Struthio camelus: one gene and its partner. The protein of the gene in region 1 binds, or shares a complex with, the protein of each later gene. Links are inferred from orthologs where the notes say so. Each region holds a gene or a part of one and is shown in the gene's direction. Other genes may lie near its edges.

What was found.
Region 2: ITPR1 (region 1) and PRKG1 share a complex: the UniProt entries of both Homo sapiens proteins name them as parts of the cGMP kinase signaling complex. The link is inferred for Struthio camelus from reciprocal best matches to the Homo sapiens genes ITPR1 and PRKG1.

The regions. Positions count from the first base shown.
Region 1 is NC_090955.1:2,742,911-2,750,152, reverse strand, and holds the start of ITPR1 (inositol 1,4,5-trisphosphate-gated calcium channel ITPR1), read left to right. Parts: upstream 1-4,198; 5' UTR 4,199-4,392; coding exon 4,393-4,418; intron 4,419-7,242. UniProt on the Homo sapiens protein: Inositol 1,4,5-trisphosphate-gated calcium channel that, upon inositol 1,4,5-trisphosphate binding, mediates calcium release from the endoplasmic reticulum (ER).
Region 2 is NC_090948.1:42,921,869-42,928,952, reverse strand, and holds the start of PRKG1 (cGMP-dependent protein kinase 1), read left to right. Parts: upstream 1-4,005; 5' UTR 4,006-4,069; coding exon 4,070-4,380; intron 4,381-4,647; exon of another isoform or gene 4,648-4,662; intron 4,663-7,084. UniProt on the Homo sapiens protein: Serine/threonine protein kinase that acts as a key mediator of the nitric oxide (NO)/cGMP signaling pathway. GMP binding activates PRKG1, which phosphorylates serines and threonines on many cellular proteins.

The DNA.
Region 1 (7,242 bases):
GGTATCCCAGGGCTTCCAAAACCTGTTGACCCAAAAGACTCACTGACTCGGAGCCTAGTCCAAAGGTCCACATCTGAATGGTTTCCTGACAGGGCTCAGTTGCCTGGATGAGGGGTGTAAGATGAAGCTTATATCAGTTTCTGTCCCGCAGAAGTTTCTCTGCAGCCAAGTTAATGGGCTGTTAGCCTCTGGGTTATTTTGTTTGCTTTTTTGGTAGGCCTCTGCTTTAAACTAATTTCCACGCAGAGCAAATATTCTAGGTTCTGAATACTCAGCATGAGTTTACAAGAGTAAACTCGGTGCCTGAAACATGACAGTATTGCACGCTGTAGTGATTATAGCAAAGTGTTGATTACCCAGTGCTAGCTGCTCGAGGACTGGAGATCATTGGTGTTATTGATCGGAGCAAAAATTCTGGCGTAACAGTACACACTGAAAGGTATGCTTCCTGTCAGAGCCAATGTGAAAGCTAACTGCTATAAAAAACAGTGACTTGAAATGCTGTGAATGTGTAGCAATCAATATGTATAAACCAAAACAAGTAATTGTGGAAATGAAAAACACAGTTCCATTGTTTTGCAAAACAAGCTGTTGCAGGAGCACTGTGAAGTAAGCTCTCCACTGAGCCGATTATTTCTAATGTGTTTTTAAAGTAATTTTTTGTTTGTCAGTAACACGTTTCTTGTCTTAAAATTCCTTCATCCGGTCTGAGATTAAAGTGTTTGCTTAGATGAGCGTTCCCTCACCCCCATCTGTTGCTTGTGCAGCATTCATTAATTCTTGACATAGAGAGCAATCCGGTTTCCTCTTTTATAGAGGTTCACAAATTGGGAAATAAACGGCAAGAGCAACTTTCATTTGCCTTTGCAGTCTTGGGGTGGAGCTTAACTGTGGGTAATAGTATATTTTTCAACGATAGCTAGTCATGAATACCATTGTTGGAGGGTGGAAGAGGGCTTAATGAATGACACTGAAGAAGCAAGCATGTTGTGAGTGTAGGTCTTCAGCAACAAATGTTGGAGCTACAAGTCTAGGCAAGAACAGCTAAATGGAGGAAATATACTGGGACTGATAAATAAAGTGGAGCGAGGTAGAAATAATAGTTATGGTCTCTGGTTATAAACAAGAGGTGTAATGGCTTGTATTATGGCACTGTCTTTTTATCCTCTCAGGTCACCTCAACAAATCTGTTTGTGTGGGATAGACTAGAAAATGGAAGAGTCCAGGTGAAGAAGCTGAATCTCAACTCCTAGCTCCTTGCAAGTGTGGTTGCCATTTAGAGCGATCCTGACAAAGAGTGAAGTAATACTGCTGTGTGGTTTCAGTTACCTTGTAAAGCTAATTCTGAATCTATGTTACAACATGGCAGAGTGAGAAGGTAGTCACCCACAGATTTTTGGAGGAAGTGTAAAGCCGAGTTTCCAACTGCTATAGTCTTATGTGTGTGTGAGAGGAAGGGTACTAGTCCAGGTTCCCAGTCAATTTCCAGCCTGTGTGGTCTAGAGTAGATCTGGAAGTCCTTGGTGGAGGCAGGAATTCCTTTCAACTGCTTTCTGTAACGTGGCAATATATCAGAAGAGAGGCTTGCTCAAGACAGACAATACTGAGGTGAAGCTTCTTTTTCAGTGCTATAAAGCAGACTTGAAACAGGACCTAGATATCTTGAGCCCTAGTCCTGTCCTTTAGATGAAGCAGCCTCAAGAGCAGGCATAGTCCATTCTGGTGATTTGGTCAGCTGTGCTATTCCCCTGTGATACTGTGCATAGTAATTCTTGAGTGCATTGTATACTCCATAGGAATGTTTGATGTGTCAAGCTGCAAAGCATATTGGGAGTCTTTGAGACATTATTATCCCATAAATATAAGATAGTTATAGTAGGATTATGCTTTAAGGCAGAAGGAATCTCAAGATCTTGTGGGAGGTGGAATGAAGGTAGTGGTTCTGTAGTATCTGATAGACTAGCTGCTTGCTTTTCTGTGGGTGAGTGTGAGAGAAGACAGCCTCACCAAAGAAGCTTAAAGGGAGCCAAGGGGTTTAGAGGTAGAAAATGGTGTGCTAGGGGAAAGTTACATAAATGTAACACTTCTGTCACAGTGTGCCCGTGGTATTAATCTGGTTTCAGAAAATTCAGAACATTCTGCCTTGCGGAATGTTCCAAATCAATTGCTTCTGCTGCTGAGATAGCACATTCACTACTGCAGTAGTCTGAAGCATTTTTCTGCCTGTTTTTTGTGTAATAATACAGAAGATGGGTTAAAAACCCTTGAGCAGTTTTATATAGCAGCCTATGCTGTGGTGTAGGTACACACAGATACTGATTTACTGAGTGCTATGAAATGGAAGACCTGAAAAGTCAGCGGATGGTACATGGGCTGCTAAGTCAGATCCTATCTACCTTTGTCCACGGTTACTCAAAATGGGTGTTTTATCAAGGGAGGTTATAGCAGGACCCTTCCCTCAGCTTTTTACGCGGATTCCTGTGCTCTTCCGTTATGCATCTCACACTGGCTGCTGTAGGAGGCAGGGTGCCAAACAAGGCGAGCTTTGATCTGGCCTGATATTCCATTCTTATTTCTGTTCCCAATGGACGCTGCAAAAGCACTACAGCAGTTATTGCCTGGTTCTCAGTCTTGGCACAGATGATGAGCTATAACTGGGGTATGGTGTTGGAGCTATCTTTTCAGTGTGCTGCAACTACTTGTTAGACTGGCAGAGGCAGCAACAGGAAGTATGTTGTTCTTGCTTGGTCTGTACCCGTTGAGAAATTACAATTCCAAGTCTTCTATGCTGTTATGTTTTAAGAGACTAAATTCATTTGGGAAAAAATTAAGGTAAAATGAAAACTACAGGAATTGTAATTCAAACTGGAGGAAAGCTGCAAAATTCAGCTGTGGATTCTGAACTCAAAGTTTCATTTTCATAGCTGTGGTTTTGGTTAAGCCTATCAAAACTTGCATCAGAACTTATTTTTCCTTCCTCACACTGTTGTATTGAGAATAAAATGTCAGTTCAGATCTGGGCAAGTCAACTGCTCTAGAGAGAAAAATGTCTTAGTGATGAGCTTGGAACTGCAGGTTATTTTGCTGATTTACAGTTTGCAGAGATAAAACTATATCCTCGTATGCCAAATGCTAATATAAGGAGCATTGCAGAAAGCTTAGTGTTTATACCTCATTGATCATTCTACTGAACAGAGTAGCAAAGAATAGTAAATAGCTCTGAGCAGACTGAGGGCCGAATGAAGCAACTTTCTGGATTAGGACATTAGATGATAATTCTTCTTTTGGAGTAATCTGCTACTAAGTTACAGGGAAAGAAGTCTGAATATTGAATCCAGATGTAATAATGTATACATAAGCAGTTCTCTCTCTCATCATCCCTGTCTTGTGCAAGATGTCTGGAGTTAGAAGACGGTAATCTCTGTGCATATGTGGATAAGAAGTGTGTCTGACCAAAGTAGGTCAAAAAACGGCCACTGCCAGAAGACTAGCTTTTTCTGGTTGGTTGGTTGATTTTTATTTATTTGTTTGTTTGTTCCAGGAATTCTTTAGTAGCAATTTAGGATGAAGGTTTTGTAATAAAATAAAATAACAAAATAAAAATTCTTCTCTACCCTGGCACATCCTATCTTCTTCTTCAGAAATCTACCAAGAAGTTCTGAGGAAAAAAGCACTGATTGCGTGAGTGTGATGTCCAGATATGTCCTTTCTATCCCATTCCAACAGGAGATTCATGGACACAAAGACAGATACCTAACCCTTTCAGGTTTGGCTAATGATCCTTGGTCTAAAGGGTTAATTGAAAACTTAACTCATCTTATGGTTAAAATAACTCAACAGTCCTTGGTCACTCCTCCGTATGTAAGGGTTAAGCAGATTCAGTTGCTGATGTTCTTTGTGAGCTAAGCTGGTGCAGTATTTTGAACCTTTGCTTCAGAAGAATGACTCATGTTTGCATTCTAGAAAATTACTGTTGGGGGACCAACATGTACAAGTCAGTCTGGAACCTGGAGGCTTCATCTGTAAAGGAGCCCAACTTGATTGGGCTTTTTTTAGATCAGTAGGGCTCAAAGTAGGTCCCCTGGCCACCAGTGGTTCTCCACACGTGCTAATCACGTGGTGGTAGTGGCTCCTCCTCTTTGGCTGCCTCTCACAGGCATTTAGGTTTTTCACTGCAGACCTAGATGCCTGCTGAGGTATCTAGGAAGGAAGACCAGTGAGCTAACCCTCGTAAGGGTTGCTGTAGCTGGAGGACGAGAGAGGACTTGCAAGCCTTCAACAGAAGAGACCTGCTAGTAGGGGAAAAGCATTAATTTCATTACTGGCAGGGACCTGAAGCTACCAGGAGCCATTCAGCCGAGTCCAGTCTCAGCACAAGGCTCAAACACTGCCATGGAGGCCAGAGAACCCCCACCAAGGTGAAGTATTGGCAAAGGAAGAACTGGGGAGTATAGGGCATGGGAAGGATGCAAGTATTGGGCAGGTAGTCAGAGGGAGATGAACAGAGGGCTAATGAGACTGACAGACAAAAGGAAAATGCTTTGGTAAATTTAGGGAGTATTGCATTTGCTGAAGAGCTTGCATCTTGTGAGGTAGCAGGGGGGCTCATACCTGACAAAAGAGGCTGTAGGAGATAGAGCATTCTGTGCTGAAGCCTCAGTAGATATATGGCCATGCAAAATGAAATTGGGACTGTTCTGTACGTTCTTCTTCCCTGGCCACTTTTCTTCTTTGGCCAAACTCCAGTAGATATTATAAACCAAGCTTGCTCTCATTCCCCATGACATTGGCGGCCCGGGTTCTTTTGGCATGTTCCTACACTCTCCTTCTAACAGAAATATTCTGGAAAACAGTGTGCTTGTAGGGGCCTCGTCCAGAGGCTGGCGTCTAAGCTGCTTTCTCCCCTCAGGGTGAGAGCCAATAAGTATCAACTTTCAGAAGTTGATACTTACTGAAGTGCTTCTTAGTTTTAATAGAATTGAAAATTTGCTATCAGGTCGTACTTGGTCTGAAACTTTAAAAAAAAAATTTTTTTTTTCTTCCTGACAGCGTGCCCCCAGTAGTTTTTTTGGCTTTCTTCAAATATCTATCAATGAGGATCTGTTAGTTGCGTTTATTATATCAATGTAATGGCTGCTGTATAAGATATGTCTGTCAAAGTGTAACTTCTGCTTAGCGCAATTATGGGTGTTTTCTTTTCAACTTTAACTTTCTGTAAGTTTGGCGTGACTATTTTCCTATCTGGTTGCATTGGACAAATCAAGAAATGTGTGCATCCTTTCTGAGGAGAAAAGGATGTCACGGATGTTTGCTTATTTGTATTAAGTATTCATTCAGGTTTAAGTTAACAAAATGAGTTGCTTTATGTCTTTTCTCTCTCCTCTTTTTTTTTTTTAAGCTGACTTTTATTGCACCTACTAGTCACTTCTGAATAACTTCATCATTTGTAGGGTAACTATAAAAAATGAGTTTATCTGTGACGTGGCATGCAGTAGGAATAGAACATAATTAACTTAGCCACCATCTCGCTGTATGAATTTACTTGCCTCCTCTAACCTCTTTCAATGAAAGAGAAGAATATGCTTGATTGGAAGTGCAATAGGGCTGAACTCCCTCCTGAGAGAGGAGAGGCAGTATGGAGTGGTGGATGAGGATTCAGGAGACGTGGATCCTAATCCAGGCTCTGAGTCTAACCTCCTGCATGACCTTGAGTAAGTCATAGCACTGTGCTGCTTCCTCCTTCCCCTCTTTCACGTTCTCCGTCTTGTCTATTTAGACTGCAAACTGTTGGAGAATCTGCTACATTCTAAGCATTAGGAAGAAAAATACTTTCTCTGTGAAAGTACGTTTCTCCTCTTTAATCTACCCGTTCATCAAATGACAGTTTGTCTGCAGATAGCAGGCTCCTGGACATGAAAGGTAGCAGTAAGTGGAAAACAAGATCAAGTGGTAGATAAACATACCAAGTTTATATTTTTTTAAATGTAATCTCCAAAGTGTACGTACATGTGCGTGAAATTAGCAGTACATAACCCTGTCAATACTTCACACAATTCTTAGCTACTTCCGACTGAAAGCATGCGAGGGTGAGAAAGGAAAAAAATCTAATGTTCGAGACAGCGTGCCTGTGATTCCCTGTGCCGTTGTCATCTTCCGTGCGCTGTAAACAGTGTTGGTGTCTGAGAAGTTTCTGAATTTCGCTCTACTGTTGACCTAGTGTTCAACTAAGGAGTTAATGAACTTTTCTGGGCTATTCTGCTTGCTGTATGGCCCTTACCATGGTTGTCAGGAGCCAACTGCCTTTTTGCTCTGTCACCCAAACTGTGCTGTATTTGTCTTTCCATGTTGTGTGCATGTATGCCAAGAGCCCCTTCTAGATTTGCTAAATCAGAAGCTTTGAAAAGGACAGTGTTTCCTTCTGCAGCCCCAGAAGAGTGATTATTTGCTGGATGATCTTTTGCATGGAGCACTTCCTCTTGGGCTGTTTTGATGGAATGCTTATGATTCTTTTGTCATAGCCCTTAGGGAGGAAACCTCCTATCTTTTAAAATAAGGATGGGAAACAATTTTTCGTTTCAGTTTTTAAAAAGTTAGCTGCACCTGTAAAAATAGATACCTCATGCTAGAGTCCTATCCAAAGCATTGAAATCGTTAGAAAAAAAATCTCTTAGTTAAGAGCAACTTTGGACCAAGCCTGTAAAGCCAAATTTTTGATCAGGTAATCTTGTTATAAAGTTTGGTTTTAGCAAAGTGTTTTAAGCACCTGACTCTCACCAAAATCTGGGGAGTCAGTGAACGCATTCAAGAAATGTCAGCTTACTAGGCCTAAACCAGAAACATTAAGGACCCAATCCCGTTTGCTTCGAACACTTGGACTTATCTGCCTCTGTGGGTTCTCAGTTGATAGTCTTGAAATGTTAGTGGTATCTGTTAATTTGTGGATGCTTCATCATATGCATGGCAATGGCTTATACCACAGTAGTCCTTTATGTTGGCTTTTCCTTCTCCTCCACTGTTAAGAATTTGATTTTTTTTCTTAAAAAAAAAAAAGAAACAAAATTAAACTTTCACTGTAATCTTTCCTATCTGTAGATTTTTCTGAGTAGTTGAGTACAATTTGAGATTCTATTCTAGTCTTACCTAACTAATATAAATAGTGAAAAAGACTTTGATAAAGTGCTGCTCCGATTTCTGAAACAATACATACACAATTGTTAGTCTAATTGAGCAATAAACCACAGT
Region 2 (7,084 bases), on another chromosome or scaffold:
TGGGTTATGGCATGCTTTTTGCAAGAGTTCAGCTTATGTGCGTGCTACCTTTCAGTATGTCTTTCTGTATTTTTAGTCGGCCTCACATCGTAAAGGTGTTACTCTGAGTAAGCATATAGGCAACGTACTCTGCTTTGCAAGTGTCTCTGTTCCCAGCAGCGGCTAAAGTCACGTGGGTGCTATACCTGCCAATTCTTCCCGAATCCGCACAAAGCTAAGACAAGCAGGGAAATCCGCTGCAAAAGCCAAACAGTTCAACTTTTGCTTTCTGCTGCAGGCCGGTCTGCTCCTGTAGACATTTTGGGGAAGGCGTAAGGAATGGATTGCAATGAATTAGGCAGGGAAAAAAAAAAAAAAAAGGCACGTCCAGGAGGAGGGAAATGTTTATGTATGTACTCCGTCATGCACCCCTAGCTTCTCCTTCCTTGCTGTCCTGGCTGGCTCTGGCAACGTGACGTTTGCCTGTCAGCGATCCAGCTTCATACCTGAGTTTTGATTGGCGAGCTCCGCGCGATGTTTTCGGAATAGGGAGCCTTCAAACATGTTTTGAGCGTCGAAGATGGCAGCTGAGTGGGTGCGTTTGGTGACAGATGATCCTTGAAAGGTTTAGAAGCCAAGCTATTAAAACCCAGAAGCTGTGCGCGGAGGAAATATTGTGAGTGTATCAGAACCTGTGCGGGCAGAGGAGAAGAAGAAACACTGATGTTTCGTGGGGAAGCCCGTGATTGCCAGTAGCAAGCAAGCCCCGGCGGTGTTTTGGGGTAGAGCTCAAGCCCTCTGTAGGATTTTTTTTTGTTTGGTTTGGTTTGGTTTTTCCAGTCTGCTGCTTACTGACATCGGGGCCGGGTGAGACACAGTATTGCAGTGGTCCGATCAGAAAGAGGCTTTGGGACCTGGAGGAAGTTTGGCTGCTGGCTCCCGTAACAAACTACAAGCCGGCTTCGTGTTGTCGTCCCCGGACCAAGGCCCTTCGTTGCGTTCCTGCCACGCGTCCATGTAAAGCTTTTTTCTTTCCGTACGCTCGATTGAGAAGACAAAGCAGCTGCTCTGAAAACCCGAGTGTTTTGCTGGGAACTTTAAGTTGAAAAGAACGGGATCAGAGGATTTATTTTGATCGGACTGGGGCAGCGGGATCTCCGTGCTGCTGAGACTGCAAGGCGGCCGATACCCCGAAAGCCCTGAAGCGTGAGCCGCACGGGCAGCTGCGGTCCCCCAACCCCACTCGTCTGCTGGTTTCTTCGGAAGAGCAGTAAACAACCAAAACCAGGCAGCCGTCTGCAGCCTTCACAGGACAGGGCTCTGCTGACAGGTTGTAGACCTTTCGGCTTCCTTGGTCTCATCTTGAAGGCTGGCCTTGGATTTACGGCTGCTCACCACAAATCTCCGACTGTCACGTAAAATCTCTCTTTGGCTCTCGGAGGTCTTATGAGACCAGGAGAATGGGCTTTCCACCTGTAAATAAATATTTTCTTTAGCTATCATTAGCCGAGTTCCCGGCCAGTTTTATTTCCCGTAAAGCCAGCGGCAGCAATCTCAGGGATACACTAAAGAGCAGATATGCGAGTTTCTATAACCACTGTGGAGAAATACTTGTAAGAGAGCATCCTAAGCATACGATGCCTCATCAAACACGTCAGCCCTGACAGCCTACGCCTCTGTCAAGCAGCATTTGTGATGTTTTTCTCCGAGTCCTTTCTGATGTTACTGTTGTCTCAGTCCCAGGCTGCGCACCTCTAATAGAAACTAAGTAATACGGCTTTGCTGCCTTAAAATGGAAATGTTCAGAGGATATTTAGTACTTTTGCTCCTAGTGAGTTATGTAAGATGTAAATGGAGGAAATATATAGCACCCCCCACCCAAAAAAAAAAAAAAGTCTGAACTTAAAGCGCGTTGTCAGCCCATGGAAAAGACCACTGAACTTTGAGTTTGTGCCTACCAAATGCATCAAGAAGACTTAAAACTGAAGCATTTTACATAAGCCAAATCTGTTTTTTCACGTGCCCCTTGAAAAATGCAGGAGGTACCAAACACATTGCAGAACCTGCAAAGTCTCATGCAAGATTTATTAGAAGAATCCAGGCCCTTGCAGACAACCGCTTTGAATAGGGGAGTAGTTGTAATTCCTCATCTGTTCGTTGTTTTTTTTTTTTTTTTAATTTTATAAAGACCATCTGCAGGTTGAAAGCTGGAACTCTGGACTCAGCCGAGCGCCAGTGTGTAACAGGAGAAAAACAAAAGCAAAACCCATAAACGCTGTCTCTCATTTCCAACTAATGCCCAAGTTGGAGGTCTGGACAGCCCTGCCAATGGCAGATACAAATGTGCAGCTACCACCCACCTCCAAAAAAAAATGTATCCATCACTACATCCTCCCCAAATCCAACTCCCAGAAAGGGAACGGGAACAGCTGCTTCTGGCGCCTTGGAAACATCCAAGCATGCTGCTCTGGCGGCTGAGCACTGCAAAAGCTCTTGGGGGCACCTACATCTGGCTGGGCGGGGGGGGGGGGGGATTTCTACCCCATCTCCTCCAAACCATACAGTCTTCTCGGGAGACCAAACCCAGCCATACTTTTTGCCCACAGATCCCTCTCTGCGTCCAAGGGGGCCAAGTCCGGGAGCTGTATCTGTCACAGCATACATCATCGTCCTTTTTCTGTGCTAGCAAAAGGCAGGCAAGAAAAAGAAAACAGAGCCATTTGGCACCGAAGGCTCGGCTGATCCGGCTCATTTGTTTTGTTTTGTTATTTTTGTGCCGCAAACCCATAAACAGTATTGCATAGGTAGACCCAAAGTGCCACCGTGGCTTAGCACGTGGAAAGTCCTGGAGCGCGATGCACCGTGCTCGCATTCCTGGAAAATCCTGACGTGTCTGGTGCAGCAGAATCTACTTTACACCTCCATATAGGTATTGGGGCTACACAGAAAGTGCACCCATATTTTAATGTGCTTTTTTAGTGCTATGGGACCCATAAGCACTGCCTCCAGATTTTTTCCAGCGAAGACATACTTGACCGATATTTACCTTAAGACCTGAGGGATTGGAGCCCAAAGCTCAGGCTGAGCAGGAGCCATGCCGTTGCCCGGTGCTGGCTCGTGCTTTCTGTTACAGAAGACAGTGAAAACGGGCTGTAAAGAAATCCTAAGCACGCGATAAGGTGGGCAGGTTCTGTAGGAACAAGTAGCACTTTTGGTTCAAGGAGACGGTGGGACGGGAGAAGAGCAGGGCACAGCCCCGACAGCGGGGCGCGGGATGCTTGGGAGCGCGAGGGGCGATTTTTGCAGCCTTCTCCCAGTGTGGGGACGGGTTCGCCGCCCTCCAGCCGGCGCAGCGTGGGAGCGGAGGGTTTGCAAACGCTGCCCTTGGCCCAGGCCCCTGGCCCCGGGACCTCTGCAGCCGGCTCCTGCTCGCAGCCGAGGGGAGCTTGTGGGCGCCCACGGGGCTGCCCGTGAGCCTCCCCCCCCCCCCCCGCTCCCCGGGGGTTTCAGAGGGAGAAGCCCGGCCGGAGCCCCTAGCAGTGCCGCGGGGAGCCCCCGGCCGGGGGGCGCGCAGCCGCGGGCGGGGAGCGGAGGGCCGCGGGTTCGCGCCCCGCTCGCCCCCCTCGGGGGTGGTGGGGGGGGAGCCGGGCCGTGCGGGGCGTTGGGAGCCGGCGGCCGCCTTTTGGGGAGGGAGGGGGAAAGGAGGGAGCGGCGGCGCGGCGAAAGTGCATGTGCATCCTTGCAGACGCCCCTTCCTCCGTGCCTTCCCTCCCTCCTCCTCCTCCTCCGTGTGTGTGTGGTGTGTGTGTAATGTGTGTGTGTGTGTGTGTGCGTCTCGCTCCCTCTCCAGTCTAGCCTGACGCAGGCAGATCGAAATCACCCCTGAGGAGCCGGGCTGCGGAGCGCGGTGCGGCGGGGGTCCGGCTGCCCCGGGGCGGAGCGGGCCCGGGGCCGGAGGCAGCGCCCCGGCGGCGGCGGCGGCGGCGGGGAAGTTGGCCCAAGTGCGGGGAGGCAGCCGGCGGGGGGGGGGGGGGAAAGTTGCCGGGAGAGGCGAGGGGCGAGCCGGGCAGCGGCGGCAGCGGCCAGGAGCATGGGCACTTTGCGGGATTTACAGTACGCGCTGCAGGAGAAGATCGAGGAGCTGCGGCAGCGGGATGCGCTCATCGACGAGCTGGAGCTGGAGTTGGACCAGAAGGACGAACTGATCCAGAAGCTGCAGAACGAGCTGGACAAGTACCGCTCCGTGATCCGGCCCGCCACGCAGCAGGCGCAGCAGCAAAGCGCCGGCACCTTGCAGGGGGAGCAGAGGACCAAGAGGCAGGCGATTTCAGCCGAGCCCACCGCCTTCGACATCCAGGACCTCAGCCACGTCACCCTGCCCTTCTACCCCAAGAGCCCACAGTAAGCGGCGGGTCGCAGCCCTGCGGGAGCGAGAGCCCCTCTGCCTCTGGGGAGCGGAGCGCCGGCAGAGCCGCTCGGGCGGGCGCTGCCCCCCCCCCCCCGCGGCGTGCGGCATGCCGGAGGGCAGACCCCCCCCTCCCCAAAACCAACCCCTTCCCCTTCCTGGGCAGCCGCATTGCTGCTGCCTTCCCCCCCCCCACCCCGCCCCAACCAAGAGAGTTTTTTTTTGGGGGGGGGGGGGGCAAGTTGTTGCTGCGTTCCCGAGGGTGGGAAAGTTGCGAGGTGTGAGTTGGGGGTGTGTTTGGCTGGTGGGATGTGGGGGGGGGGTCGGGCCAAGCTCGCGAGTGGGTGCTGAGGTGGAGGGGACAACCGCCCCCCCCCCCCGCACCCCAAATCCCCTTCCTTCCCTCGGCGACAAGTTTGCGTCGAGGCAGGCGGGCACCTCGGAGAGTTTTTGGTCGGGGAGGTGGGGGGGGGGGAGGAGGTTGGTTGGGACCGGAGCTTCTGGACTTCGGGAAGGGAAGGGAGGAAGGCGGCGGCCGCCGGGGAGCCTCCCCCGTCCCGTCAAAGGCGAGCGAGGGGGCGGAAAGTCGCGGCCGGGCGGTTGTCCCCCCCCCCCCCCAGTTGAAATCCCTCGCTCGACGTAGTCGCAGGCTGGAAGAGAGGGGCCTCGTCAAGCCCAAACCCGCCTGCTGTTTAGGGCTGGCCGGTTTTTGTGTGTCCCCCCACCCCCTGCTGGGGAACAGGAGGGAAGGAGCCTGCTCGGCTCGGAAAGGGTCCTTCAGAGGAGGGTCCTTCGGTCTGTCCTCCTCGTGTGTCCCTCTGGGGAGCGGGTCGGTGTATGGGACTATATGGGTTTTTTTTTTTCCTTTTTTTTTTTTTTAAATGATATAGTGGCAGGAGTAGCCCAAAAGGGAGGGGGGGGGTTGGTTCGTCAAGAGCCGGCGATGGCGGCTCAATGGCAGGTGCAGGCGGCCTTTGGCTTCGCCCAGGTGCGGCCGAGGCGGAGCGCGCCGCCGCCGCCGCCTCCTCGCCTCAGGCAGGTGCGCGGGCCGCGGCCTGGCCCAACCGCCATGGCGGGTCCCCGCCGTCTCCTAGCAACGGCCGCCTGCTCCTGGGCGGGGGGAGGGGGAGATGGCGGCGGCCTGGCCTGGCCTGGCCTGGCCTGGCCTGGCCTCGCCTCGCCCTCCCCCCCCCCCCAGCCCGAGCTTTCGCCACAGATATTTTGCCCTTTTAAGGCGAATCGCCGCTGCGTTGAGTTTAATAAAGAGCGGCGGGGAGTAGAGGAGCGGGACCCGAGAAGGAGGGGGAAGCGCTTCGCTGGGGGGGGAACGGACGGACGGACGGACGGACGGACGGACGGACGGACAGCCCCCCCGGTGCCCTCTGCGCAGGCAGGGACGCGTGGTCGGGCTGTGTGTGAAGGAGCCTTCAGCAGCTGTGGGCGATGTCCTGTGATGTTTCGGGGCGGGGGGGGACAGCGACACGGCTCAGAGGTGGCAGTTCTTGCGCCTGAGCTGCTAGATGGAGCCGCCGGCTCTCCCCTGGCCTACCGAGACCCTTCGGCTGTAGGCGGACCGAGTCCTGAATCTCTGCTGCCTACCGGAAAACGTACAGGAAACCTGTCAAAGCCTTGAATTAACTTCCCCCCCCCACCCCCCGGCTTCAATCTAACCTCTCATTCCTCAAGTTCCTCCGTTCAGTTTTACTTAGGGATAAGGCAGGCCACTTGCCTGAAGCGGCGTTCAGTATTGACCTCCCGTGGTCGGCGGTACCCATGACATTGTTTTCAGCTCCCGTAACTGCTTTGTGCCGTGATCACTGAGGGAAAAAGGTGACTCGTTTCGCTGCGACAAGTCATGAGGCTGTGCTGGAGCGCAATAGTCCCCTCTTCTCCAGAGCGTTCGCTGCCTTCTGAGATGAGCCGCGTGATGGTGATGAGGAGCGCCCACGCCTGCAGGTGGATGGACGCCCACCGGGCTAGCGCCACGTCTTCTGGACGTAAACTGTCCTCTCAGGTGCTTACCGCAACCTGTAAGTCAGGGCGCTGACGAGCACTTGTAATTTGCGTGTCCAAACGTAACCTGGATTAGCCGGATTTAGCGGTGCGGCAACTGGGAGAGGAAGCACAGGTCGGCTTAAATTGTCGGGATCATGACTGCCCTAAATCATGCCTTTTCCTGTACTTCTCCGCACGAGCCCCAAATATGGCTTATATAGTGCTCCTGTGTGCTTGCAAGGAACCTCTTGTCTTGATTATATTAAAAACGTGGCACAAAGTCTTTAGGCTATTTTGATGTTGTATATAACCATTTATGGCAGCAATAGAGGAAAAGGCAGAGAGGCTCTGGAAGCGTGGGTATATACTCAAAATAAGTTTCAGAGCATACAAGGCTTTATTTGCTGTTGCAGGGCTGGGCCGCTATAATTTTCCCTATAAATTTATCTTGCTGATGTGAAACTGGACTTTGGGCTCGCGTGAGTTTATACCTAAAATATACAGAGGGACACATCTTGCCATTTTCTTCGGGGTTAAAAGACCAGTGAGAGAAGTCAGATATTTGCCTCTACATGAGTCTTTGTATTTGAGTGACTAGGAAGAAGTTGCCTAAAATAAGAGTTGTTCTCCCCACCCTTCCCTACCCCCAGTGGAAATAACTTGCAAGAAGTGAGTGGAGAAAAGACTGGAGAAAGCTGGAGCGTT